Linked DNA regions of Schizosaccharomyces pombe. The gene in region 4 interacts genetically with the main gene of each other region. Each region holds a gene or a part of one and is shown on either strand. Other genes may lie near its edges. The genes, in order: sid2, ryh1, kin1 and bgs1.

Region 1 (6,366 bases), on a different chromosome or scaffold from region 4:
TTTCATTGAACGTGACCGAATGCAAATGATTTCTCAAATGCGAAATATGCACGACAACAAATACCTTGTGGATGATAACCTCACGTTCATCTCGTCGCAGTTTGTTCATGACCTTGCTGGCAAAGCTGGTGAAGAACAGTCACTTGCATGCTATGAGTTTTTCTTGGCATTGGCCCTTTGTCATAGCGTAGTTGCAGACAGAGTTGGTGACCGGATTGTCTATAAAGCACAATCGCCAGATGAAGCTGCACTCGTGGGTACCGCCCGCGACGTTGGCTTTGTTTTTTTGGACCAGCGGAGAGACATTATGGTTACTCGTGCTCTTGGAGAAACCCAAAGATTCAAATTGATGGATACTATTGAATTCAGCTCAGCGAGGAAGAGAATGAGTGTGATCGTTAAAGGACCCGATAACCGTTATGTGCTTATTTGCAAAGGTGCTGATAGCATTATTTTCGAACGTTTGGAACCAAATGAACAAGTTGAATTACGTAAAACCACTTCTGAGCATCTCAGAATTTTTGCATTGGAAGGTTTACGAACACTTTGTATCGCAAAAAGAGAGCTTACTGAAGAGGAATATTACGAATGGAAAGAAAAGTATGACATCGCCGCATCTGCAATTGAAAACCGTGAGGAGCAAATAGAGGAAGTTGCCGATTTGATTGAATCTCATCTTACTTTGCTCGGTGGAACAGCTATTGAGGATCGATTACAAGAAGGAGTACCTGATTCAATTGCATTATTGGCTCAAGCCGGTATCAAATTGTGGGTTCTGACCGGAGACAAAATGGAGACTGCTATTAATATTGGTTTTTCTTGCAATTTATTGGACGCTGGCATGGACATGATTAAGTTTGATGTGGACCAAGAAGTGTCAACACCAGAGTTGGAAGTTATTTTAGCTGACTACTTATATCGTTATTTTGGTTTGTCTGGATCAGTTGAAGAACTTGAAGCTGCTAAGAAGGATCATGACACTCCCTCTGGCTCTCATGCGTTAGTTATTGATGGATCAGTACTTAAACGAGTTTTAGATGGTCCAATGAGAACCAAGTTTCTGCTACTTTGTAAAAGATGCAAGGCTGTCTTGTGTTGCCGTGTTAGTCCGGCTCAAAAAGCAGATGTTGTTCAATTGGTACGCGAAAGCCTTGAAGTAATGACGTTAGCCATTGGAGATGGTGCGAATGATGTTGCAATGATTCAAAAAGCTGATATTGGTGTTGGTATTGTTGGTGAAGAAGGCCGTGCTGCAGCTATGTCTGCGGATTATGCAATCGGTCAATTCCGATTTTTGAGCAAGCTGGTTCTTGTTCATGGCCGTTGGGATTATAATCGTGTTGCTGAAATGGTAAACAACTTTTTCTACAAGAGTGTTGTATGGACATTTACTTTATTCTGGTATCAGATTTACAACAATTTCGACGCAAATTACCTTTTCGATTATACTTATGTTATGCTGTTTAACTTGATTTTTTCATCGTTACCTGTCATTGTCATGGGTGTCTATGATCAAGATGTTAATGCTGATTTGTCGCTTCGGATCCCTCAGCTTTACAAGCGTGGTATTTTGCAATTAAATTCAGCCAGGAAAATCTTTATTGGATATATGCTTGATGGGTTTTATCAGTCTGTAATCTGTTTCTTTTTCTCTTTTCTTGTGATTAACAATGTGACCACAGCTGCTCAGAATGGTCGTGATACTATGGCTGTACAAGATTTAGGTGTTTACGTTGCTGCGCCAACTATTATGGTTGTCGACACGTATGTTATTCTGAATCAATCAAATTGGGATGTGTTTTCAATTGGTTTATGGGCGCTCAGTTGTTTGACATTTTGGTTTTGGACTGGCGTCTACTCTCAAAGCCTTTATACATATGAATTTTATAAATCTGCTTCGCGTATATTCAGAACTCCAAATTTTTGGGCTGTTTTATGTGGAACGATTGTAAGTTGTCTTTTCCCGAAGTTTTTGTTTATGACAACGCAAAAGTTATTTTGGCCATATGATGTGGATATCATTCGCGAAAGTTACCGCACTAAACGCCTTCATGAATTGGATGAAGAAGAGGAGATTGAGAATGCCGAACAATCTCCAGATTGGGCATCTTCTACTTTACAGGTCCCTTTCAACGCATCTTCGTCAAGTTTGGCGACACCCAAGAAAGAACCTTTACGTTTGGACACAAATTCGCTTACACTCACATCAAGTATGCCAAGAAGCTTTACCCCGTCATATACTCCAAGTTTCTTGGAGGGCTCTCCTGTGTTCTCTGATGAAATACTTAACAGAGGCGAATACATGCCTCATCGTGGTTCCATTTCTTCTTCTGAACAGCCGTTACGGCCTTAAAAAATGGCAAGTTAATAAGCTGAATTATCTAATCAAGATAATCTGTGTACCCATTCTATTTCTACGCTATGCTTAAGAACATAACTTTTCATACTAAAGAATGATGAATTATCGAATAATGATTATGATGTTATAGAAACATCTCTGCATACTAAATAAAATACATGAACGTTTACATTTTTCTTCTGAAATCAAAAGATTGCATCAAATTTAAAATGTATTTTGCATTCACAGTACATTTTAAAAATAACGAGATAAATTTACTATATCTAGTTTACATTTGTATGATAAATAATAAAAACAGACTTTTTAACAATCTTGTTCTAAGTAGTAAATTTGGTGGTTGGTTTTTTAAGTTTTGAAATTTCCAGCGACTGCTGTAATCAAACTTTGGTTGCTAAGGGTAAATGGCTGATACCTAACTCCGATGGAAATGTACTCTGCCGTAAACAAAACACGTAAGGTTATTATTGACAGGAGTTTTGCATTTTTTGGGGACCAAAACGTTGGATGTTTACGATACATATTTAAAGAAAACTAATAATGAATCGTGTTAATGATATGTCACCAGTTGAAGGTGATTTAGGACTTCAGCTAAGTTCTGAAGCAGATAAGAAATTTGATGCATATATGAAGCGACATGGTCTTTTTGAACCCGGCAACTTGTCGAATAATGATAAAGAAAGGAATTTGGAGGATCAATTTAATAGTATGAAGCTTTCCCCAGTGGCATCTTCGAAGGAAAATTATCCTGACAATCATATGCATTCAAAACACATTAGTAAGTTACCGATTGCAAGCCCTATTCCGCGTGGTCTTGATAGATCTGGCGAGTTGAGCTACAAGGATAATAATCATTGGTCAGATAGAAGTTCAACGGGTTCACCAAGATGGGAAAATGGATCTATGAACTTGTCAGTTGAAGAAATGGAGAAAGTGGTCCAACCTAAGGTAAAGAGAATGGCAACCATTTGTCAAATGTTCTTTTTAGACCATTACTTTGAGCAGCTTCATTATCTTTATACCCGCAAGCAAAGAGCCCGTCTTTTTGAAGAGCAGTTGCTTAAAGAGCCTGATTCACGAAGAGACGAGCTAGTGAAGCGATACAATGGACGTGAACGAGTATATCTAAGGAAAAGGAGGACACGCATTAGTCACGGAGATTTCCAGACCATCACTCAAGTCGGACAAGGTGGATATGGCTCTGTTTGGTTGGCTAGGAAGCGTGACACCAAAGAGATTGTTGCTTTGAAAATCATGAATAAATCGGTTTTGCATAAAATGGATGAGATCAGGCATGTTCTTACTGAGCGTGATATCCTTACGACAGCCAACTCGGAATGGTTAGTTCGTCTACTTTATGCTTTTCAGGATACTTCAAACATTTATCTCGCTATGGAATTTGTTCCTGGTGGTGATTTCCGTACTTTGCTTAGCAACAGTGGTGTTTTAAGGGATCATCATGCCAAGTTTTATGCTACAGAAATGTTCCTAGCTATTGATGCTTTGCATCAACTTGGTTACATCCATCGTGACCTTAAGCCAGAAAACTTTTTGGTTGGAGCTAGCGGCCATATTAAATTGACGGACTTTGGTTTAAGTTCTGGAATAATCAGCAAAAAGAAGATTGAAAGTATGAAGATTCGTCTTCAAGAAGTCAACAATGTCGTTGTTCCCGAAAGGAGCATGAGGGAAAGGCGACAAGTGTTTCGAACTCTTTTATCTCAGGATCCTGTATACGCTCATTCAGTAGTTGGCTCTCCTGATTATATGGCCCCAGAGGTTTTACGAGGTGAAAACTACAACCACTCTGTAGACTATTGGTCTCTTGGCTGCATCATGTATGAATGTCTTTCTGGTTTTCCTCCATTTTCTGGCTCCAATGTTAATGAAACCTGGTCTAACTTGAAGAATTGGCGCAAGTGTTTTCAACGCCCTCACTATGATGATCCCCGCGATTTGGAATTCAACTGGAGAGATGATGCATGGGATTTTGTATGTCACTGCATTACTGATCCCAAGGATCGCTTTTGTTCTCTTAAGCAAGTCATGCAACATCCTTACTTCTCAAAGATTGATTGGAAAAATGTTCGTACAGCATATCGTCCTCCGTTTGTACCCGACCTTAATTCTGAGATTGACGCAGGATATTTTGATGATTTCACTAATGAAAATGATATGTCTAAATATAAGGAAGTTCATGAGAAACAAGCTGCAATTGCTAATATGGTTAACACATTTAATAAGCCTAAACGCAATGCTTTTATCGGCTTCACTTTTAGGCATCAAAAAAATAGTCATCCTACTAGCTCTAGTAGCGCATTATCTAGTCCCCTCTCTGCTCCTTCTTTCGGGACTCTATTATAATCAAAGGGAAATTTAATGACCCTTGTTCATGGTATTTTTATAAGACATCTACTGTTATTAACTATTTTCGAAGATACTGAGCTTCGCTTTTGATGTTTTGACATTTACAGTACTGTCTTTTACTATTGCATTTCACTTTCGAACGGCATTTACATTACAATTTGCGAAAGTTATCACTTTAATTTTATGATGTTTATTTGGAAGTATCCTTTTTCATTATATTATATTATATTTTTATTTATCTTCCACTATTTTATTCGTCAATATTCAGCTTTCGCCATTTATATAGAAGAACTTGCAATTACCAGATAAATTATGTAAATCATTTACTTGATAGGGAAATAGACACTATCTGCAATTTAATATCTTGAACCATTTTTACTATTTTGGAAAATTTTTGTTTTCGTGTATTATTTGTTGTTTAGTGAGCTGTAAGATATTCGTTTTGTTGGCAACAGCAGAAGAGCTGTAACATTCATCAAACTGCGATACCTCATTATCCTCGTTTCTTACTGCTTTCCTCCTAAAGCGTCTACCTTTTGCTCTTTATTTCACTCGTAAATTAATCTGTTAATGAAAGATTCACATAGCTCTCGGAGGAAGTATGAGAAGGAAAAGTTGGTATTCGCAACGAATAATGGAAAAAGAACAGAGGGTACCCCAGCTTTTTTAAAAAGCGGTAACACAGCTTCTTCATCCTCCCCTACTCTTCAATTTCGTCCTACATCGAGATATCCGACATTGAGCCATGAACCAGTGTATACGAATGTTTTGGACCTGTCTTCAAGGATTGACGCGAACAGGGCTAGTATAATGAGCGCTACAATGGGTACTCCACCTTCAGCATTGAAATTCTCCAAGAAAAAAATATCCCGGCCTGTTGTTAGTGAAGATACCTTCAAAGACAAATTGCCGCGTGCAACCATACCGGTCAAGCCGGAGCCACAGCCACAGTATAAAATTCCAGCTGCACCTGCTCCTACAAGCAAACGTGTAGTTAACCGTGGGTTAAAGCTGAACACTAATTTGAGACAGGCTTCTCCTATTTTGCCTTCACCTAGTTTAAAGTTGGATCGGCAAGATGCCCCAATACAAATAAATCATGAGCAGAAAGAAGATTTTTTGGTTTCTATTCCGCGACCAACGCCAATGACCAATTTAGATGATGGAAAGGATGAGATTGGACAACCGGATCCTCATAGAAAATATATGGCACCTCCACGTGTTAATTCTATAAGTCGTGTACAGCGTCGTATGAGTTACATACCATACGGTGGGTTTGATGACTTCTTAGATAACTATTACAAGGATGACGATACTGTACTTGAAGACAATCAGCTTAAGAGTAACTCTCGAATAGAAACTTTGGAGGAAGAAGATGGAGCAGAAAGTGACTCCATCACAAATACAGTTTCTAATGCTTCGTCAGATGCAGAACCTGCTCATCGTCATTTGGGACCAGTTTATGAAAACTCTGGACACCTCCCTTCAAAAAGTCACTTTTCATCAACCGACTCGAATACAGATTCATTCGGGTTAGAAAGCGATGAACGTTCGCTTCCTTCAGTTTCTAATGACTTAAAATCATCCGAAACTTTGAAAAATCCTCGAAATGATGATTTGCTTACACTTCAACAACCACCTCG
Region 2 (6,053 bases), on a different chromosome or scaffold from region 4:
TATACATCATGTACGTAGTCCAATTAGTACCGGGCAACCTGGATAGTAAATATCCGATCAAAAATCCACCCGGAGTTTGCATCATCATCATTGGGATACTAAGGGCACCATGGCTTTGATGGCGTATAGTTTTTATGATTTGAGGAACATACTGAACGACCGCGCAGAATGAAGCGCTAAATCCAAGGAATGCTGCCCAAGCAAAGTTCGAACTAAGGACGGTTGCGGATAGACAGATGATAAACAATCCCCAAGTAAATACACCAAGTAGCCCATAAGATGCTTTTCGCCATTTACGACTTTTCGTTACACTTAAAGGCTCAGGGATTGGTAAACCATTTTCGTCATCTGCTGCAACAAAGTGAATAGGTCGAGGGAGAAACATCCAGAAAGCCATAAGAACACAACCCATAATAAGTACCTGAGAACCCACTTGAATTAAACCGGTTGTGTTAGCAAAGCATTGCTTTTTGGAATAGTAATTTTGACAGCATTCAGTTAAAGGGCTAATTTGTAGAGCAATGACATTTGAGAACGCATTAAGAACACCTATGTAACCCAAAATAAGGTAAGAAAAACTTAAGCCTTGCGAACTTCCGAGACGAACAATGCGAAAGATTTGTAACAGGTAAGAAATGATGAGGCCTATGATAATATACACTGAAAAGATAAAGCTAGCTTTTGTTGCCAAAGGGCACTTCGGTGGTGTATCATCATCAAAAATGAAACTGCTCGTGCTAAACTCCATCGTTCATACGTACTTCGTCTCCTATAATAAAATCGTAATAAAGAAATGCAATACGAAGTTAATTTCTAATGCTTTGTATAAAAATATATAAATAAACGATGCCTGGGCTGCCAATAATGGTACGATGAAGTAAAGGTTGCTAACTTTGGGGCTTATTGAACAAGCGTCACTAAGGAAAGACAATTTAAAATTTCCTTTTGAAATAATTGGTGTTTAATAAATAAGTAAAAGGAAGAATCGCCAAAAAATTGGATTTTTCATTTAATTTTGTCGAAAATGGGGAAAGGAGAGGCAGTGTAAGCTACATTAGTCGGAGGGCTTAGACACAAAGTTGTGAGCTGTAACGTATAATATTGAAATTTTGCGATATTTAAAGTGCTATAAATTTGACATTGGAGAAAATAAATAAGTAAATAAACAATGAATTATAGAAGAAGATAAAAGGAACTGAATGAATTGTATATCTTAATAAACTAGGTAAATTTTTTTCTCTTTTAAAAACATGAGTGAAATGAAATGGCGCTACACATCTAAAAATTGAAATACATCAAGACACTTTACAAAAAAATTTCTAAATTGAATCTAAAATCAAGTTCTTTTGTTTTTAACCCCATTATCTTTTTAAAGATTCTAAATAATCTAAATTAATCGTTTGAACCAAATTTTTTATAGGATATATAACTACATATTTACTTTTTAAATTCTTTTTCATCTTATCATTAAATTCCGAGATTTTTTATTCCAAACAGCAGCTAATAATTATGAAATAACTTAGTTTTTAATTCTCTTATCTTTCTTGAACTTTTCGTCATATTGCAATAAGGATACAAATAAAAAAAAAATTTATTTTTAAAAGAATCTAAGCTTGAAAAGCCATACTATTTACTCTTTTATTGATTTCGAAAATTATTAAATTAAAACCCACTAACTAACCTGTTATTGTTGACATTAAGTATAAAATTTGACTTGGCTGTTCCGTAGCTAATTGTATCATTAATGAAATGACCGAGTTTGCTAAATTAACTCGAGTATATTTTCCTGTAAAGCTTATATTTTGCTTAAATCTGACTCGTTTAACAGCTAGTTTTATTCAAGTTAACAAACATACATTTTTCGAACAGTTTGGTGCAGTCTGCCAATCTTGAACTTGGTAGCAGACAGGATGCGTAGATTATGAAACATTCTAATAAAATTTCAAATGGAATAAAGCCATTATGTTGAATTTCAAGCTTGTTCTATGGTTTAACTACTTTCCATTTTCCTTCTTTCATCAGCTACTAAACAAAAAAATTACCTTATACTTTACTAATATGCTGAAGCCTTCAATGTTTGGGCATGTGATGCAGTGGTAGCATGCTCGCTTTGCATGCGAGTCGTCCTGGGTTCAATCCCCAGCGTGTCCAATATTTTTTTGTAAACTTAGCTACTCTCAGCAAAAATTAGGCCATTCCAATCGAGAGATTTCTTGTATTATATAGTTTAATGATAATCAAATCTCGATGACTCCTCCTTCCCATGCGATGTGGCGCGTTTTTATCCCAGTTGTCATTCCTTGAAATGTTGTGTATAAAACTATGAGTAGTAAACAAACTGTTGTTACAGCTGTATGTTTTTTAACACCCAAAAACCTATCACTATCAACAACTCAAAGAAAAAGAACCCATCTTTAGGAATGCTTAGTAATTTAAGAACGGTGAGAGTTCATGATTTCTTTTTCAGCGAAAAAGTTGTTTGTTATAGAATTACTTTACCGAGATTAAACTTCGTAAAAGCGAATGAAAAGTAAAACAAGCGAAAGTATATTAAGGATATGCGGCGGGATCTCACTGTAGCACGATAGTCTTTACTCACTACTACCACTATTAAGTACGGTGCTTTTTGATCATCAATAAGCAATTCCGTCTGTATCTAAATTACTTTTGTCTGTGTATATTTAGAAGTCAAAACTTTTTGTCATAATGTCAGAAAATTACTCGTTTTCTTTGCGTAAATTTAAGTTGGTTTTTCTCGGTGAGCAGTCAGTTGGCAAAACATCGTTAATTACACGATTTATGTACGATCAGTTTGATAATACTTATCAAGTAAGTAACTATAATTAAAACTTCTTTACTAACAGGGTCCAAGGCTACTATTGGTATAGACTTTCTAAGCAAGACTATGTATTTGGAAGATCGAACGGTTCGTCTTCAACTATGGGATACTGCTGGTCAAGAACGTTTCCGTTCTTTAATTCCTTCGTATATTAGGGATTCTTCTGTTGCTATTATTGTTTACGATATCACTAGTAAGTAATAGTGGCACAGTAATTTTGCCATATATTTTTACTCAGACTTTATTTTCGAATATCTGCTAACTACTTATAGACCATAACTCTTTTGTAAATACTGAGAAATGGATTGAAGATGTTCGTGCTGAGCGGGGAGACGACGTTATAATTGTTCTCGTTGGTAATAAAACGGACTTGGCTGATAAAAGGTATGACACTCCAGCTAACAGAGATTCAGCATTTACAATGCGACATCTCTTCATTCATAATTCCAAAGCTATATTTTGGTTTTTGATGGTTCTTATGCTAACGGTGGTTTAGGCAAGTGACTCAAGAAGAAGGAGAAAAAAAGGCAAAAGAATTAAAAATAATGCACATGGAAACTAGTGCTAAAGCGGGTCACAATGTAAAACTGTTGTTTAGGAAAATTGCACAAATGTTACCAGGCATGGAGAATGTGGAAACACAAAGCACTCAAATGATTGACGTTAGCATTCAGCCTAACGAGAATGAAAGCAGCTGCAATTGCTAGTGTATCTCATTGAACATGTCAGTGTACTCTAACTGTTTCGTGAATTATTTTTTTTCGCTTCAGGCCGCAATCAGCGGTTTTTAATGTCATTTGACCCTCAAAAAGTATACTGTGAGTATATATATATCTTCTTATAGCCCCTAAATCTTTTGCACCTTTAAAGAATCGCGATTCCTTTTATACCTGTTTCCTTTTCCTTCTTTTTTTACTTGTTTTAGTCCTTTTTTATTTTAATCCTGTCTCTATGATATATGCTTTACAAAAGTGAGAAGTTGAATTTCTGAATAAGTCTCTTTCGTTTAATCCCTGCGGTGCTTCTTGACTTTTCAAGGGCATTTGCAAAGAAGGAAAAAAATTACAATGTATGATTTTGGAATTCAGAGAAATGTTATTATTTTTTTTTTTTTAGATTTCGCTTTTTCCCTTTACTCATAAGTTATTTATGCTATGTGAGTCAGTTCAAGGTTTTCATTGAAACAGTAGAACTTTATTTATACTTCAATTTTTTAATTTTATTAAAAGATATGAGGTTTTTTGCCAAAAAAAATTGAATGAACCAAAAAAAAGTTAGCGGATATAACCTCTAGGCCTGCTTTGAATTTATGTTAAGATATTTGTTTATATCAAACTCTGAAAGACTCGGTAACGTCTCACATTGAGAATCAACAATCTCATTCAGCTGATCCCCTACCAAGTTTTTGATGGCAGCATCTGGAACCCAAATGACATGCATTCCTGCAGCCTTTGCACTTTTGACACCGGGAATACTGTCTTCAAAGGCAATGCATTGGCTTGGTGTAAGTGCCTTCAAACCTCGCTGCTTCCTACTTTCATTTATTAAATTCAACACCTTCAGCCAAATGTCTGGAAAAGGTTTGCCACGACCAGGTGCAATACTAGGATTATCACCTGTAATAACATTTTTACCAAATTTCTCAAAAATATGTTTAAGATGGGCTGTCTTCATATTATAATTTGCGGTATTAGAGGAAGTAGCAAGCTGGTGATGCTGTTAGCACACTTTTATTATAGCGTAGGGATGAGTACATACCCCGATATCAATTCCATGATTGGAGAGGTTATTAATCAAAGATTCAGCCCCAGGCATAGGCTTCAAAGACGACCAAAACTTTGCCTTTCAGAAAGTTAGTTGAAATGGAAATAAATGTAGCGTATAAGTACGTACCCGAATAACCTGTTGTTCATCAACGAATTGTTGAGGAGTCATAGGAATGTTGGACCAATCTATAACAACCTTGGCAGCTGCGGAACCCGGTCTCCCTACGTATCGCAAGTTAGACCTGCAATTTTGAAAGCATTTTAAAATATCTCTTCGCTAGCTTTATATAACATACCCATCATTTGAGCCTTAACAGAAATAGGAAGAGGATCCTTGCCATACCTGTCCAATATAAGATCTATAAAAAAAATAAAGATTAGAAAACATTGTAGTTTTGTGCTAAATATAAGCACAGATATATTATTTACATACTGGTCGTCTTTGTATAAATAGTTTCACTGTCGACAAGTAGACCCTGTAAAAAGAGTGATTGTTAATGCAAAAGCTTTCATAAGAGGTAATGTGGTGTGAAAAATAAACATACATCCATATCGAATAGACAAGCCATGTATTTTACGTGTTTAGCAGCCATTTCTAGGTAAAAAGATAGTGAAGCTTCTACGACCTAACAAAACCAAAGAAAAAAAAAAGCAGAAAAAAAACTTCCGGGATATCCAAAAAATCAAGTTTCAAAAAAGTATATTGCTGTATAACCAATAAAAAAGTATAAAATCTTCCAAAACAAGAATTAACAATTAAATATACAAATACAATTAAAGAAAACAAAGACACCGACAAATGAAGTGTTAACTGTATATCTAATTAAAAAAATCCGCGAAAAACCAAAAAATAAGGACAGTTGTTAAAGATCAACAAAGAAACGTCGATACAGTAAGGCGTGATAATTAGGCAGAATGAAAAATAGCTAAATCCCAAAACTGTGCAAACTGCAATAAGTAATCAACAATCGTAGATTAGAGTAAATCCGTGTGTCGGATGATTGGGAGCAATATTGAAGAGTTCGTTAATCTGTTTTAGTGAGAATTCAACCGCACTACTGAAAGAGAATTAAGCGTTTATATTAACCATGAAATTGTAATCCGGTTTTAATGATGCCTTAAGCTGTGGTGAATTTTCCTTGTAATTTACTTATCTATATCGCGGTACCCAGGTAGTGTAAGTTAGCGATTGTTTTGGGATATTTTTCTATGAAGGTGATGAATATTTTGACACTGAGATCGTTCATTTCCAAATTGAATAATACTGGTTCTGTTAGGCTCTCATTATATATCAATGAATAATATCCAGCTGACTATAAGCAATGATGAACCTATCCTGTATCATTTATGTACAGTGAATAGAGAAATAAAACATTTGACATATTGCGATGTATAACAGAATTGAACATAGCGAACAGCTCACGCATTATTCTCGAATCAAGCAGGCA
Region 3 (7,729 bases), 340 kb from region 4:
GATATAGTGATGTTAAGTTATGGAACTAGAGGACCCCCATTTTAGGTAAGTGTATATCTTAAGATATGAAAATTATATATTATTTATAAGATGGTTAAGATAATAGCAAGTAATGATTCAAATATGCATTTCGTATGACTAAAAATTTTGATGATGAAAAGACAGGACAACCACGGTCAAAAGAAAGGATAATCGTCAAAACACAAACAGATGAGCAATTCTTTGTATAAAAACACCACTTCATAACTGCGCGTTTTACACGCCTATACCGTTTCTGAAAATTAATGGCAAATCACCCCAATCGAATCTATAAGTATTTATGTCTTCTGCGATCACGACGAACCAACATTATACCATAGGATACAATTGCACCCAATAACAAGAAAACCATAAAGTTTGTCAAGTTATATGGCGAGTAAGCATTTCCCATTGCCTTTTTTATCTCCTTTTCAAATTCTGCTAAATGTTTAGAAGTACCATCTGCAGTGGAAGATTGCGCAGATAGAGAATCATGTAGCAATTTTTCAAGGGCATTAAATCTTTCACTTGGGAACTGTGAAGTAGAAGAAATATCGTTCAAACGCTCCAAAGCATTAGTCAACGCAAAATGCAAAGAGTCCATCTTCTGGCGTTGAGATTCTACTAGATTAAAAAGCTTTGCCAAATCAGCCTTTATTGCGTTCAAACCTTCAGTGTCAATAACTGTTTGAGGACTAGTATTGTCACCGACGCTTTGCTTTGTATTGGAGGTAGGATTCAAATTTTCATTATTAGATGTATCTGGAGGAAGTATATTGAGGTTCGATAAAGCCACCAAGTCTTTTGCAGACGTAGATTGAGAGGAAACTCCAAAATAATACCCCTGAGGCAAAATGACATCTTTTACTTGAAAGCAGGGCTTGTCATTCACAAATAACTCTAATCCAGATTGGTCACCGTATTTGAGAATAATATTGTTCAAAGCCTCAGGAGAGCTCTCAATGGTACATTTAGCAAAGGGCGGAAGATCGGGGTCAGTAAACTGAGCAAGTTCAAAACTTTTATCATTCAAATAGCCACGAACAAAGATTTTACCAGTTTGATCGATTTCCTGGGAAATCAGAAGGCCGTCCCACTTATCGGAGGCGCCAAAAACTGGACCTTCTGAACCGACAGCGCTTGTATACCAAATCGCAAAAAAGGTGTTTTCGTTCTCTGATACATGAGCTACAAATGAAGTCGATAGCTGCCAGCCAACTTGTCGTAAAACGCTAGTTGACCAAAGGGATCCAGAGCGTGCTTCATTACTGTCTTTGCTGGTTAAGTAAACGTAACCTGAATCTTCATCCACACTACCGTACCATTTCCATTCAACGGGAATGGCGTTACTTAGTGAATGAAGTTGCAAAAACTGAGATTTAGGGACGGCGTAAGCCAATGTACAACAAAACGATAATACATGAAACAGGGAGCAAAACTTCATTTTTCTTTACTTCGTTTAAAAATAGATAAATGAATATTGTGAAAGTATGCCAAAAAAAAGAGAGAGAAACAGAAATTGAAAGAAAGGATTATTTGGTTAAGACCAGGGACTTTTTGCTCTATTACTTATAGAAAAAGATTACTCCAGTCCTTAAATCCTTTAGTTACCGGGAACCAAAGTAAATAGATGTATTTTTGGTTTATTAGTTACCGTCAGAAAGTTTATCTACAAAATTCCGTAAATGTGAAATGACAACAACCGCCAACTCAATCGTAGTAAATAAGGATGATATTTCGAAAGTCACCTAACGAGTAATGTTAGACTTCCCTATATTTAAACATGGCAGCTTTCTGAGCAACTATGGATGTTGCAGTAAAATTGTATATGAATTGGTTTAATTGCTCGAAAGCATTGTTTGTGTGCAATGCAACTTTTCAATGCGAAGTGTATTTAATGATTATAACAAGCAATAAATGTAGTAAAAAAGACCATTTCTCTACTCCACATCAGAGACAGAAACCAGTTTTTGTTTTTTTTTAAATTGTGACTAAAAAAACAAAAAAACAATCAATGAATTAAGAGTACCGTCATGGTCGATGACTAATTTTAGTCGTTAAGAAAATTAATTGATTGTTCCATCGAAATAAATTTCATAAGCTTAAGAGACATGAAAAATACTTAAAACAAAACTCTAGAGTAACTTTAATATTTCGTTAATTTAAAAAGTTTTGACTTGGCACGATAATTCAGATGTATGAATAATGTAAAAACACACGCGTATTTGTTCATTTATGAGGAAACTGTGATGGTGATTTATTCATTGTATTTTTGAATACGCATATATTTAAAAGATTTAAGTATACAATTTCAATTGAGTCGTTTGCTGCATACTAAATCCATTTTTAGATACCATGTTTTTCTCATAACCATAAAGGAGCATGCTTGCGCCTCGGTATATAGCAGTCGTGATCTTTTAAAAGGGTGTGTGGGAAAGGAAAATACAAGTCGATAAATACATGAAATAGATTAAAAAAATAAAAGTTTAAGAAAATAGTAACTGGTAGGCTATTTTGAAGTCTTATCTCTATATAAATCGATACTAAACGTAATGAATGCTTTAGCATGGTGCATTCATCCATGACATCTCCACTGCTGCTTTAACCATTCCGTACAACAACAAAGCCAGTGCATTTGGGTTAGGGAATCCTTCCTTTACAGTTTCTGGCTTCATTTCCTTTTTTTGTAATAATTTAATTGAAAGGAAAGAATTGAAGAGATATTGAATGCCTTAGGGGACGTAGCATAGATTTGCAGTGGTTGTTAGACAGGAAACAAATTGCGGGAAAATCTCAAAGTCGTTTGACTTTCTGTTGCTCAATAAAAGAAACAGGAGACCTGTTTATACTAGAATTTCTCAAACAAGAGTTTTTACGACCGAAAATTATCGAAACAACTATATTTTTTGGTCGTTTATCTTGTTCATCGAAAAAGCTAAGCCGGTTTACCTGTTCTTCTTCCATCTTCCTGCTGCTCTAATAATCTCATTTGTTATCTTTTCAAGCTTTGCTTATTTGTTTTGATTGTAGAAACGGCTTTATCGGCTTGTGAGCATCCTTCTTTTCACAAACAATATTGATTGACTACTAATCCGTTTCTAAGCCACGAGCATTCTTGTAACTAGATCGCTTTGCTTATTTGTTTTCATCTCGTACAAGAATTTCTTCGTCCCTTTATTGTTTTCTTTTTAATTTTTCGGATTTCACGCTTTTTCGTAATATTTGTCATCTTAGGTTCGCAAGGAAACTGGTGCCACGATTTACGATAACAAAGTATTTTTTGTCAACCAAGATTTACACGTTTGTATTATTTTCACAAAGTTATTATTTTATTACATTACTCAGTCGGCTTATTTTGAGTTGATTGCTAATTTTTGCCTCTCAAAAGTTCAAGCAGTAATTTTATATCTGCTTTTTTGTCTGTTGATCCCATTTCCTGATGGAGTACCGTACCAATAACGTACCCGTCGGTAATGAGACAAAGTCTGCCGCTTTAAATGCGTTGCCGAAAATTAAAATATCTGACTCGCCCAACCGTCATCACAACCTGGTGGATGCTTTTATGCAATCTCCTTCTTATTCTACACAACCAAAATCCGCTGTAGAGCCTCTGGGTTTATCTTTTTCTCCTGGGTATATTTCTCCTTCTTCTCAGTCTCCACATCATGGCCCCGTAAGGTCTCCATCAAGTCGAAAACCGCTACCAGCATCTCCTTCTCGTACGCGGGATCATAGCCTGCGAGTACCTGTATCTGGGCATTCTTATAGCGCTGACGAGAAGCCTCGTGAAAGAAGAAAAGTCATAGGCAATTATGTACTAGGTAAAACCATTGGGGCTGGTAGCATGGGGAAAGTTAAAGTTGCGCATCATTTAAAAACAGGTGAACAGTTTGCCATTAAAATAGTTACCCGTCTTCATCCAGACATAACGAAGGCAAAAGCTGCTGCTTCTGCTGAGGCTACTAAGGCAGCACAATCAGAAAAAAACAAGGAAATTCGTACTGTTCGCGAAGCTGCCTTATCTACTTTGCTCCGTCATCCGTATATTTGCGAGGCAAGAGATGTTTATATTACTAATAGTCATTATTATATGGTCTTTGAATTTGTCGACGGTGGTCAAATGCTGGATTATATTATTTCACATGGAAAATTAAAAGAAAAGCAAGCTCGAAAATTTGTGCGTCAAATTGGAAGTGCGCTGAGTTATTTGCATCAAAACTCTGTGGTGCACAGAGATCTAAAAATTGAAAATATTTTAATTTCGAAGACCGGTGACATCAAAATTATCGATTTTGGTCTTTCAAATTTGTATCGACGTCAGTCTCGCTTGCGCACGTTTTGTGGTTCATTATATTTTGCTGCTCCAGAACTTTTGAATGCTCAACCGTACATTGGTCCAGAGGTAGACGTTTGGAGTTTTGGAATAGTACTTTACGTTCTTGTTTGCGGAAAAGTGCCATTTGATGATCAAAATATGTCTGCCTTGCATGCGAAAATAAAAAAAGGTACCGTCGAGTATCCAAGTTATTTAAGTAGTGATTGTAAAGGTTTACTATCAAGAATGTTGGTTACTGATCCTCTCAAGCGAGCCACGCTTGAAGAAGTTTTGAACCATCCTTGGATGATTCGCAATTATGAAGGACCTCCAGCTTCGTTTGCTCCGGAAAGATCTCCGATCACTCTTCCATTAGATCCTGAAATTATTAGGGAAATGAACGGTTTTGATTTTGGACCACCAGAAAAAATTGTTCGTGAATTAACTAAGGTAATTAGCAGTGAAGCTTATCAATCTTTAGCTAAAACTGGATTTTATTCCGGGCCTAATTCAGCTGACAAGAAAAAGTCTTTCTTTGAATTCCGGATTAGGCATGCTGCGCATGATATCGAGAATCCAATATTACCATCTCTTTCAATGAACACTGATATTTATGATGCGTTTCATCCTCTCATTTCAATTTATTATTTAGTTTCTGAACGTCGTGTATATGAAAAAGGTGGAAATTGGAATAGGATAGCAAAAACACCAGTTTCTAGCGTTCCTTCTTCGCCAGTTCAGCCAACTAGTTATAATCGTACTTTACCGCCAATGCCGGAAGTTGTTGCCTACAAAGGCGACGAAGAATCACCTCGTGTTTCTCGAAACACATCACTTGCACGCAGAAAGCCTTTGCCTGATACGGAATCTCACTCCCCTTCTCCTTCAGCAACCTCCTCCATCAAAAAGAATCCATCCAGCATTTTTAGAAGGTTTTCATCACGCCGAAAACAAAATAAGTCTTCTACATCTACTCTTCAAATTAGTGCTCCCCTTGAGACCTCACAATCTCCACCAACACCTCGAACCAAGCCGTCTCACAAGCCCCCAGTATCTTACAAGAATAAACTTGTTACCCAATCTGCTATTGGAAGATCAACCTCTGTTCGTGAGGGCCGCTATGCTGGTATCTCCAGTCAGATGGATTCACTAAACATGGATTCAACAGGGCCCTCTGCATCCAATATGGCAAATGCACCTCCGTCGGTTCGTAATAATCGTGTACTTAATCCTCGTGGTGCTTCCTTGGGGCATGGGCGGATGTCAACTTCTACGACCAACCGCCAAAAGCAAATCCTTAATGAAACGATGGGCAATCCGGTGGACAAGAACTCTACTTCCCCATCCAAATCTACGGATAAATTGGATCCTATAAAGCCTGTTTTCCTTAAAGGCTTGTTCAGTGTTTCCACTACATCGACTAAAAGTACTGAGTCAATTCAACGAGATCTTATTCGGGTAATGGGCATGCTTGATATTGAGTATAAAGAGATCAAGGGTGGTTATGCATGTCTATATAAACCTCAGGGTATCCGAACCCCTACAAAATCGACTTCTGTTCATACACGACGTAAGCCTTCTTATGGCTCTAATTCTACCACTGATTCTTATGGATCGGTGCCGGACACAGTCCCATTAGATGACAATGGTGAGTCGCCTGCCTCTAACCTTGCCTTTGAAATATATATTGTGAAAGTCCCTATACTCTCTCTTCGTGGCGTTTCTTTTCATCGAATTAGTGGAAACTCATGGCAATATAAGACATTGGCTAGTCGTATTCTTAACGAATTAAAATTGTGATTGACTATTAAAGCTGCATACTTTTTTGAAATTATTTATTTCACTTCATTTTACGTTATGACCACCTAATTAGTGTTTATGGTTTTTAATACTAAGACCGCTTCAGGTTGAACTATATTAGACGTTGAGCTTTTTTAGAGACGAGAAACTAGACCTCTAATGCTCTTGCCTGTGAAAGCAAACAGATGCCAGAGGCATGTAAAGTCAACGTGTAAATGCACCCTCGTTCGCTTATGTTTAAGCCAGATACATAAGGCTACTATAATTAATGATATATCTTATAGTAATTCGTTCACTTATATAGTCTAATACGACGTTTTTGTTGATACTTATCTAGCAGTAATATTATTATTAACCCATAACTATAAAATACCAAAAAACCATTGTATAAAAACCTAAATGAAAACCCGTGCTATATGAAAAGTAGCTAAGTAAAAACCCTTTTTTACTTCTTCCTTTTTTGCAGAACTTCCAAAGCACTAATTGAGTCCATTCCGATAATATTATCATGAACTTCTTCGTTGGCTAATTTTTCAGCCATATTTACAAGACCGCTCGTCAAGTATCTACCAGAAAATCCTGTTCTTATTTTTTCGTGTAATAAGGGAGCAAGCTCTGAGCGAAGATGCGCTATCTGTTTCTTATTCTTACTAGATTCAGATTTTTTTGGCAAATCCGGATCCTCATCATCAGAACTTTCAACTCCCAATTCCTGAGCCATCGATTTTAACCAAGCTTCCTCACGTCCCACTCTTCCGTCTTTTCTAGTGAGATTTACAATTTTATGTGCTAAGACGACCCTCGTTTTTAAAATGTCCAATATTGACATATCCACAGGAAAATTAATAAAGGTCTCGATTTTCTTTTTCAACCGATAACATAGTCGTTTCAGCTGTGACAGTTCTTTAGGACCACACATTAAAATTGAAACGCCATCTTCGTTAGCGCGAGCGGTACGACCGCTTCTATGAACATACATATCAGCTGTATGAGGAACATGATAATGAATTACGTGCGTAACACTAGGAATATCAATACCACGGGCGGCCACATCAGTGCAAACAAGGACTCCTTTAGGATTATTTTTGAACCTTGTTAGTTAGTAACATATAAATAAAAATAACTTACTTTTCAAGAGATTGAAGTCTTTTTTTCTGATCTAATTGAGCATGTAGAGGATAGGATGGAACTTTTAACTCATTTAGAAAAGGAGTGATTCTCTTAATATCCTCAATACCATTGGCAAAAACCATGGTTTTTCCAGGATAACGCATGATCAAATAATAAAGATACAAGTCTTTTTCAGCTGGAGCACACTCTATGAGCCCTTCTAATACGCGGCTTGCCACTGCACTTTGAGGATTGGCATCCAAAAATTTGGGTTTGCCAAAGAAACGAACCTCCTTCAACATATTTTCTATGCAGTCGTTAGTAAGTGAGAAAGTAAAATATTTCTAATTGAACATACCCATCGGGCTGTTGTATTTCTCAGTTATATTGCCTTTCATATTCTTTTTAAGGCGTTGCTGTAAACCCTCATCGAAAGTTGCAGAAAAGATAAAAGTCTGACGCTGAGTATGCATGGGATTTCCTAAA
Region 4 (9,320 bases):
AAGGAACTTATGAAGAAACTTTCAGATGAGTACCACCGTACTAAAGATGCTAAACAAAACGTTTCAAAATCCGTTAGCCTTATCTCTTCAAGCGATTTGTAAATGTGAACGTAATAACATAATCAATATCACATTACGGGCAGACGGTGCACCAATAATTTTTTCTCATGTAACAGACATTAAGTTTGTGTTTGCTCTAACCATCAATCGTTCTTCATTACTTATTTAGATAATATATTCTCAAGTACTAGATACTTAATCAACACTCAAGTCATTTTTTATTTAACAAAATGCAAATATAATAATTATTATTTACCCTAATTGAGAGCATTTCTAATGAGAAATAAGCATCCACATCACACAAATCCTTTAAAAAAAAATAAAATGCTTTAGACAGAAGAATTCTTTGTTGAAGAATAAACAATCTTTGTCGCTGGCTGAATCAGATTAAATTTATCCATTGAAGTTCCAGCAGCTGATTTACCAAACACAAAAGGCAAAATTAAAAGAACAAAAAAGGCAATAAACAATGAAAAGTACAAAGTGGCATAGCGAAGAACTATTTGACGACGAAGTTTGTTTTGTCTTATGGTATAAATTGGGGGTCGAATTTGTCTGCTGGGCACAAGCCAGAATAATATGATCGAGTGAAGTTTGTCGATATAAGGAATCAAAATAACAGGCGCTTGCAAAAACAACAAAAGATGACTTAAAAGGAAATCACCAGCAAACATATTCAACTCTGTAGTTTTACACACAAATTCTCTCCATGGTTGCGTTAAAACCATATATCCAAAACCTTGGCCATTCCAACGTCCAGACCACCAAGCTAAATTGGCACCATCATGACGAAATTCTCGAGACAGGAAACATATGATAAAAAATTTATGAGCAAACCTGTGAATTGAAATGATTGCTACAAATCCAAGTAAAGTTTTTGAAAATGACCAACCTTCCAAATAGCCCAATACTTCAAAGACAACAACATCAACACACACAAAAAGGAAATGGGCCACTCCAGCCAAATATACACCATACGTTTTAGATCTATCGCCGAGAATAGGACGTAACATGATTCCTAAACAGAAAAAGAAAAAAGCAATAATTGCACTTAAAACCAAAGGAGCAACTGACATAATAATCAAGCGAATAAAAGCATTAGTAGATTGGGTCTCATCATCGTTACCAGGTTGGGAATTGATAAAGAGAAATGGAATACACGTGAAAAATAGTGTTCCTAGAGGCCCTAATATTTCACCATAAAACATTGTAGTAATTCTCGCACGCGGGGAATCCATAGCAATTTTATCTGCCTTCTTACCATATATTTTACGTTTATACCCAGTTACTCTGGTACGGCAAAGTTGACAGTTGCCAATCCATGAATTTGCTTGATTGCGTGAATTTTCGCGGAATAGCCAGCGCATAAACTCACGATAATCAACAAAGAAATCGGTCCAGGCGAATTGATGGGGATTGTAAAGGAATGGACTAATGCAAAGAGCAGTCAGCGTAATCCAAAAGTAAATATAATGCGGCAACCAAGCAGTAATTGAACCAAACAATAACATGTACATAAGTCGTGACCCAAAATAAAGTGATGGTCCAGAGAATCGAGAATACAATAGTGAGAACGGCACACGAACAGTAGCAAAACCTCTGCTAGTACCAATATAGCGTGCACCACCAAACGTAAGATTTGCAATTAAACTCTGCGCATATATTTGGCATGTGAAAATTTCAAAAATAGGAGATAGAGAGAATATTTGTTTCGCTAAACGAATAACCATTCGGATGGCACCGCGTTCCCCTAATTCACAAACAGCAAGTGGAACAAAAGCAATACCAAAGACAATGAAAATAGACAAAATACAACGCTTCAACCACTCGAGAACTGGTTTTAATTGATAACAACCTTCAGGGTACAAAGAAGCTGTCAAGGAGTCAAATTGGCGGTATCTACAAACCGGAACAACAGTGTACATTGCTCCCAAATTAATAATAACAAGCATCAATAACTGTAAAGAAAACATGATGACCATGTTATTGACGTGAAATCCAGCGTGGGCATAGAAAAATGACAAAAACCTATCAAACGGTAATTGTGTGCCAAGGTTGAAATATTCTCTTGAAAGCATTTGTTCCGCCATACCCGTTCCAATTTTCGTAGTAAAGTTAAGAATTGAGCCAAAACCCAAGTCACGACCCTTACCACATTGATAGTAATCACAATGCTTAATACGTCCTCCACGTTGAAGAGCAATCATACCTGCATAAATATCTTCATTAACATGCAGACCTTTTTGTGCTTTTGAAACGCCGCCACGAGTAATCATAAACAAAACATTAATAAAATCAGGATGTCCGTAATGCAATTTTCCACCAATCAACGATAAAATACGAGCGAAAAGAGTACCAAATGTTTGTTCCTTTCCAGCAGCTACATCTCCAAGCATACCTGTATTTTCTGAAAAAATGTATTCTCTAGCACCGAGAATAGCTACGGGATGATTGTCAGCAGCTTTGGCATTTACCGAGTAAGGGCTATGTAAGGGAGGAGTAAGTTGCTCAAATTCAGCAAGAATGCTACGAATCTTTAGACATTCTTCCAAATAATTATCCTGGTTGGCATCGATCATTTGTACATATTCACCTCTAATGTAAGGAATAGACATATTTTGATTATCAGATTTACCGTCACCCAAAATTGGGTTACCAGATAGACGAATACGATATTTGGGTCGACGCTTTCCATTTTCCATAATGGGGCAATGACCGTCAATCAGTACAGAATAAAGATGGCGCTCGTCATTATGTCGAGATTGAGGATCTTCATCCATATATGCAATTTGCAAGTCTGGATACGCTCTTAATAAAAATTCTGCATTTTCGGCTTCTTCTTTGGTAAACTTAGCATACCGCTGCATGGAGACACAGAATCGGAACTTCCTGTTTGCCATTAAATCCAATTCTTCATCTAATCGCACAGGGTCACCATTTGTCCATTCGACCAATTCTGGTGTTTCCGTTCTGTATAACAGTTTGATGGCACGACTATAGTTACTGAAACCGTTGATAGTGCGATACAAAGTTTGAGTTCTCAGAGAGGCCCAAATTCTTGTTCTCAAAGTATACTCCGGAGTCGCAGATTTAAATCCAACACAATAGAAAGGAAGGTCATATGCTTTATTTACTCCATTTTTTTCATTGTCGATACTGCCAATAACAGAATCATTTTCATCAGCAAGTAATTTTGTATCATCAACAAAATTTCTCCACTCCACAGGATATAGCTGCTTCAAGTACTCTAATAGAGTTACGCGAGAAAGTTGATCTTCCTCGCGAATAATCTCTCTTAAAGATAACAAAATTTTCTCAGAATAGTGAGGAACCAAAACAGTGAAGGTAGGCATGGCATCAATGGAACTAGTCTTGGGTATTGATTCAGCCAAGGATTGTGCGAAAAAGGAGATTCTTCGAGCAGCTTCTGAATTAGCCGGAAACAAATCTTGCTTATAATGCTTAACCTGTTGGGAGTAGAAAAAGTTGGGAGCTCTAAGAGTATGATAGCCTGCCTTTTCAGAAGGTACTTGATGGTACAACAACTCCTGAATTTGGGTACGGGAAATCAAATGCTCCCTGTACATCGAGATAATAATGGCATTCCAAACTTGAGAAATAAGTACTTTTGGCTTGAAGACAATCTCCATGTCATCGGTATACAACAGTTTTGTATATATTCTTCTGGGAACGCGGTAAAACAATTCTCTCCAAGGAGTCCACACACTGATACCCAGGCAAAAAGCATAAGCCAAAGAATAGATAGTGCTGATAAGAATGTACCATAGATAAGTATCAAGGAAAAACAGAGAAAGATCAGTTAAATACAGTAAACTCAAGAGAATTTTAGGCTGAGCCTTGCATAGTCCAGCTCCTAAAATGTAATCACGGCAGTCATAAGGTCGCATAGCACCCAAAAATCTGATAGAATCTGCCAAATTCAAAGTTAAAAAGAAATAAGATTCCAAGAATTTGGCCACCAAAACTGTAATCCAAAGACACCAAGAAACGAAAGCACCTGTTTTTGAGGTCGGAGTGAAATTGGCGGTGAAAAATCTGTTAGCAAGGTTTTTTCCAGACCTTTTTGTGGTGAAACCAACCAAATTTCGTAACGGCGTAATCGAATAGTAAACTACACAGACCAACGAGAAAAAGAAATGCACAATTCCTACAACCAATCGAGAAGCATAATGCTGCTCTTTCGTAGACGAAGCAAATATGAAAACAACAGGTGCGATGTTTAGAAGTAGCGTACTTATCAATAACAGCATACTCGGCCACAACCTTCTGGCAGAATGATAACGACGAGGAACATGTATATATTCGAAAACCACAGCTGCCAAGGTGATAAAAGAAGCTATAGCACCAGCTAAACCACAAGCTGTCCAACGACAAGAAGCAGGAGGTTTATTATTCAAGCGGATGTGATAATTTTTGGTGTACAAATTTGGGGAATTATAAGCCGAATAATACCAGTAAGCAGATATATGCATTACCCAAATACGTGAGAAATTGGTAACGTTATGGAACCAAGAACGATACTCGTAATAGGACTTATAAAAACATGATTTCCATTCAACATCGGAAAGATGTCGATATCGCATAAACGGTGGTAAATCTAACAACGGAGTTTTATCAGCACACATGATTTCCTGAAGGCCCTTGTAGGACCAAAACAATTGATTAATATCATCATAGCCAATGATTTGAGAATGATCTCTTTCTCGTCTGACGTATTTGCCGTCCAAAATTTCAAACAGCTGTGCATGAATAAATCGATAAATAGGGGTGATAACCGAGTCTAAATAAAATTCCTTGGGCAAAGCAGCATCGACATCTTTAGCTTCCGAAGAGATATAATAATCATAAGCACATTCAAATATAAAACAAAGACACTCGGGAACAAAACGAACATTGTTAGCTTCACCCCAGCAAAGAAAATAAAGGCACACCTGCACCATCATGCGATGGGGTGAAAATGCTGCCATTTGATCTCTCCATGCCTGTTCAGCTTCTTTCAAAGTCATTGTTTCGACAATTGGGGAAGACATATCGTGAAATCCAATGGCATGACCGTCATTAAAATGAGAAGCAAAGTACCACTTTGAAAAATTTGCATGTTCACCACCAATGACATCGGCATGGATAGTAAGCAGTGCCGAGGAAGGAGACATACGAGATGCCCGAGAATCTAAAAGAACCATAACATAATCAAAAATGTTACGCATGTTATCTTTTTGAAAACCAAGTTTATTTGTAAGGTCCAACAAGATCTCTTGAACACCTTCCATAGTAACAGGAGCCTCTTCACCAGCTTGATTCCAAGCCGGATAAGCAACTGAACTGGAATCGACATTAAATGAAGAGCTATCATAATCAGAATGTAATGCATCACGAGAAGAGTTTTTATCGTAAATCATACGGGTCAGAGAGCTCATAGTATCATCGTCAGAGACATAACTATTGGCATCATCTTCAAAGAGTCCACGACCCTCTTGTTCACGCCAATACTGATCCATGATGAATAAATAGACTCAAAAGAAGGAGAGAGGACAAATTTTAATGCTTAAATTAAGAAGAATTGAAAGAAAGAAAAGTTGGAATTTGTGAGAAAGAATGCTAGCAAATGAGGAACGATGTTCAAAAGAAAGAAATAAATTTAAGAGACCTTGAAAAAAAGATTAAAAAGAAAGAAGTTAAGCCTTGGAAAATGGGGGCAAAAGAGTAGAAGAGAAAAAAATTTGTGCTGATTGAAATGAAAAAAGTAAAAGACTTTTTCAAATCCTAAAAAGAAGAAAAAAGGGTGATATATGTATGCCGGATGAGAGAAGACGGCGGAAAAAGCTCTAAAAGTAGGAAAAAGGGTGGGATCACGAAGTGAAAGAGTAGTTAAGATATCGGAGGTTCAAAAGGGAATGAACGGAACCTAAAAATACAGTATGCAAATTATAAAAAAAGAGGCGAAAAAAAAGAAGAAATAATTATAAAAACAACAATAATAATACCATAAAACAGCAAGCACCAAAAGAAGTACTTACAAATGCACACCTAGGAAACTGACCAAATTTTTAAAAAAGCGATTCAAGGAAGGACGTTTTTTTAAAAGAAAAGGAGAAAATATAAAATCGCTTTCCACATAAACTTTAGATTGAACAATTAAATTGTCGTATGCAGAAGCTTATTTACAATCTCTCAAAGCGAAAAAAAAGTAAATGGAGATGGGAAAATGGAAGGAAAAGAGAAGCGAAAGGGTAAGAGGAACCCGGGACAAACGCCAAACGTCCACACAAACACAATGCTACGACAAAAGGTGATCTTGCACACACCGAAAACTTAGCAGTGATGGAGCAACTAACGTAAAGATAATATCACACAAGAAAACTTGGCAAATGTTAAGATGGAGTCAACCTTTTTGTATGGAGGCTAATAGGAAAAAAGAGAGGAAAAAGAAAAGAAGGAACCAATGATAGATATATAAGAAGGAAGAAAAAATTAATTCCGTGCAACAGAATCAAAAATTTGACGTTAAAAAGGATAATTTACTCTAATTAATCAATATATTTTCAAAAATTTTAGAGTAATTCCACTAAGAGAACGGTGAAAATAGCCAAAACCCACCAGTTCCTAGTTTGTTGTCTGCAAGTTGTACTCATTCCGGTTCTTTCAAAACTAACAGCGAAATGGGGAAGGGTAGTGCACATTATTGAGGCCTATTTTAGTGTAAGCAATTTAGAGGCTGGCGTGGTAGGAGGCTCAGGTTACTCACCAACGAGGCACAAGGAGGCTTAAAAAACCATCCCCATACAAAGCAAAGCCATAGCCGGTCAAACAAAGAAAGAATTTATAAGCAGCTACTGTGTAGCATCTTATCAATCGTTATACCCAGCTACCGTTTTAGATGGATACTTTTAACCAAACTAAGGACGCTATATTTGAATTGGAAAAGAAGTAAACAAACTACAAAAAGTCAAGAAAGTGTAGCTGAAACCATAATTCAGTTACAGTGAACATAAGCGACGAGTGTTCTTTTTTTTTGGAATTGTTAAACTAATTTCTAATATGTGATTGTCTACATGGGTGGTAAACAATAGTAAAAATAATACAAAGCTAGAAGGTACCGAATCCCAATTAGCAAAGGTATGATTATTACAGTATAGAGCTTATGAAGAGAACTAGGCATTGGGCTTTTTTCGCAAATCCCGAAAATTGGGAAAATCATAGACGCACAATGTCTGGGTATTGAATGCGTGGGAAAAGTACGGATTTGAATGCTAACAAATCTGGTTAGGATCTAAAGAAGATGAAAAGACAACCGAGTACGAATTTAAAAGCAATTGGTTAATCCAAAGGAAGAAACAATGTGCCGGCATTGGAAAAGGTTTCCATTCCATATTCTGGTTAAGACTTGGATTGGGCAATTTCCCTTACGAATACCCCAAAAACAAACACATCCTGTAAATATTTTTATCTATCAATCGACTATTACAGCGATATTCTTTTAAATCTTTGATGACTATTTAGTTGTCACACTTAAACAACTTCTTACAATCATTTGACTACAACTATTTCTATTGTCGCACCTTCTGCTCTTTTCATTTTCTCCATTTCATTAATTCCTATATTTTCTACTTCTCTAGTTTGTTTTACTTCTTTACACTACCTTATTAGATAAATAATCTAGCACCCTAGCCTTTCTTATCATCTTAACCCCCTGTAGCGAGACTTTTTTCGTCCGGTACCTTACAGGGCTTGGGTGGGCTTTATAGAAAGGCTCAGTACATTTACCACGAGATTTTGAAAAGGATAAATCCAGCGTTTTTTCCTACAAACTATACGTTCCTGATACGCTGTATACGCTTCTTTTTCATCCAAATTTCACATTTTTTATATTTTGGTTCAAGTCTGGGGTTGATTTAAGAAAAATTTTTTTCCGTACTGCCTATTCAGTGTTTCTATTTATATTCAAAGGTGAAATTTTTTGTCTCCGCAAACTTTACATTGCCGTTATTGTCGCTTTGTTTACATTTTGAAAGTCTCAAATTGAATATTTTGAATTTCATCCTTGGCTTTTTTTTATTTGGTTTCCATTTATTTTGGTGATCGGCTTCCTTATTTTTTTTTGCACATTTAGTATTGGGTTAGACTTCAAGTCATAGGAGCCGATTGAATGATATCCTAATATTTGCCTGCTTTTTTAAAATTCTTCCAAAGTTATCTCTTTTTTCTACATTAAAAGGTTTTTTCATTCGTCTACCCAAAACGTTAACGACATTTTCCTTGTATTCTTATCCCTTTAGATTATATCCCATTTTGGTACCCATTACTGTTTTGCTGCATTTCAAGTCAAGCTGATACATTCAAGTGAATCTAGCGGATAATCATATTTTGTATTTCAACCTTTAAGTTTTGCACTTCCTTGCATGCGTCTTTGCCTTCCCTTAATTTTGATTTTTATTACACTGTCAATAATCACGAAACAAGAATATAAGAATAGTCGAAACTCTCACTTTCTTTGCGCCCTTTTTTCCTTCTCCCTTTTCTCCTAATTTTTATTTCTAGACTTCACTGAATTTCCTCGGTTGATTTAGTCAATTGGTTTAATTTTTAATCCTTTTTTTGTTGTTTTTTTACTATTTTGGTTCTTAATTGTCGCTCTTTTTCTACTTCTTATTTATATTATTACCTAAATATTTGGACTCTAACTATGGATATTAATCCTCCTCCTAGTACTGCTCCTTCATCTCCTCGCCGTTCTGTATGTGCTACATAGTGGTTTGGTTCCATTCATACACCCCTTTTCTCCTCGCTAACGTACCATTTAGATACAGCGTATTTCCGATGCAAAAAATAAGGCTCTTACTTTTAATCGTCGACGACTTGGCTTGATAAAAAAAGCACATGAACTCTCCGTTTTGTGTGATGCTAAAGTGGTGGTCATGATTTTTGATTCTAAAAATGCTTGTCACGTTGTATGTTTCATATTTCCCGTTTTTCTGATCCTTTTCTGTCATATCCTTTCAATGTAAAGTGAATACATTATAGGGAAGGTGATGAAGGTCAACAACCAGAAAACGTGGCAATGTTTTTACAAGTTTTTAATATTAACATACACCTCTTTAGTATTCTTCTGAGGAACCGGAAGAGCAAAGAGATGCCTTGCTGCAAAAATTCCTGAACAAGGACTTTGTCACGGTTGACCCTCTGGTAAGTCACTTATCAGCAATCATTATGCTTGTCCTGTATTCTGTTTACTAACATAA

The links.
Region 1: mutations in bgs1 (region 4) and sid2 impair growth when combined (synthetic growth defect), as found in Schizosaccharomyces pombe (2 studies listed by BioGRID, with this or other methods).
Region 2: mutations in bgs1 (region 4) and ryh1 impair growth when combined (synthetic growth defect), as found in Schizosaccharomyces pombe (one study listed by BioGRID).
Region 3: of bgs1 (region 4) and kin1, a mutation in one rescues a mutant of the other (synthetic rescue), as found in Schizosaccharomyces pombe (one study listed by BioGRID).

Annotation. Positions count from the first base shown.
Region 1 is NC_003424.3:220,383-226,748, reverse strand, and holds sid2 (serine/threonine protein kinase (NDR family) Sid2), read left to right. Parts: upstream 1-2,795; 5' UTR 2,796-2,896; coding exon 2,897-4,720; 3' UTR 4,721-5,055; downstream 5,056-6,366. Other genes in the region: dnf2 (phospholipid-transporting ATPase), read left to right, coding at 1-2,353; cfh1 (chitin synthase regulatory factor-like Chr3), read left to right, coding at 5,294-6,366. UniProt on the Schizosaccharomyces pombe protein: Part of a signaling pathway. Required for initiation of medial ring constriction and septation.
Region 2 is NC_003424.3:1,191,690-1,197,742, reverse strand, and holds ryh1 (Rab family GTPase Ryh1), read left to right. Parts: upstream 1-2,597; 5' UTR 2,598-2,706; coding exon 2,707-2,829; exon of another isoform or gene 2,830-2,872; coding exon 2,873-3,032; intron 3,033-3,109; exon of another isoform or gene 3,110-3,111; coding exon 3,112-3,223; exon of another isoform or gene 3,224-3,335; coding exon 3,336-3,546; 3' UTR 3,547-4,129; coding exon of another isoform or gene 4,130-4,546; 3' UTR 4,547-4,597; coding exon of another isoform or gene 4,598-4,681; 3' UTR 4,682-4,732; coding exon of another isoform or gene 4,733-4,827; 3' UTR 4,828-4,901; coding exon of another isoform or gene 4,902-4,964; 3' UTR 4,965-5,038; downstream 5,039-6,053. Other genes in the region: SPOM_SPAC4C5.03 (multispanning membrane protein, CTNS/PQ domain protein), read right to left, coding at 1-748; pseudouridine-5'-phosphatase Pud1, read right to left, coding at 4,130-4,546, 4,598-4,681, 4,733-4,827, 4,902-4,964, 5,039-5,081, 5,151-5,198. UniProt on the Schizosaccharomyces pombe protein: Has a role in retrograde traffricking of proteins from the endosome to the Golgi. Involved in protein transport to the plasma membrane. Involved in the secretory pathway where it has a role in acid phosphatase secretion.
Region 3 is NC_003423.3:2,691,711-2,699,439, forward strand, and holds kin1 (MARK/PAR-1 kinase Kin1), read left to right. Parts: upstream 1-2,621; 5' UTR 2,622-3,457; coding exon 3,458-6,133; 3' UTR 6,134-6,418; downstream 6,419-7,729. Other genes in the region: emp46 (lectin family glycoprotein receptor), read right to left, coding at 308-1,462; ATP-dependent RNA helicase Mak5, read right to left, coding at 6,579-7,224, 7,262-7,550, 7,602-7,729. UniProt on the Schizosaccharomyces pombe protein: Has a role in establishing the characteristic rod cell shape. Important for cell polarity and is involved in directing growth to the cell ends.
Region 4 is NC_003423.3:2,350,665-2,359,984, forward strand, and holds bgs1 (primary septum and spore wall linear 1,3-beta-glucan synthase catalytic subunit Bgs1), read right to left. Parts: upstream 6,701-9,320; 5' UTR 5,580-6,700; coding exon 390-5,579; 3' UTR 258-389; downstream 1-257. Other genes in the region: SPOM_SPBC19G7.04 (protein-DNA covalent cross-linking repair protein), read left to right, coding at 1-102; DNA-binding transcription factor, MADS-box Mbx1, read left to right, coding at 8,765-8,815, 8,883-9,029, 9,181-9,264. UniProt on the Schizosaccharomyces pombe protein: Alternate catalytic subunit of the 1,3-beta-glucan synthase (GS) complex. Synthesizes 1,3-beta-glucan, a major structural component of the fungal cell wall. Required for the assembly of the division septum and maintenance of cell polarity.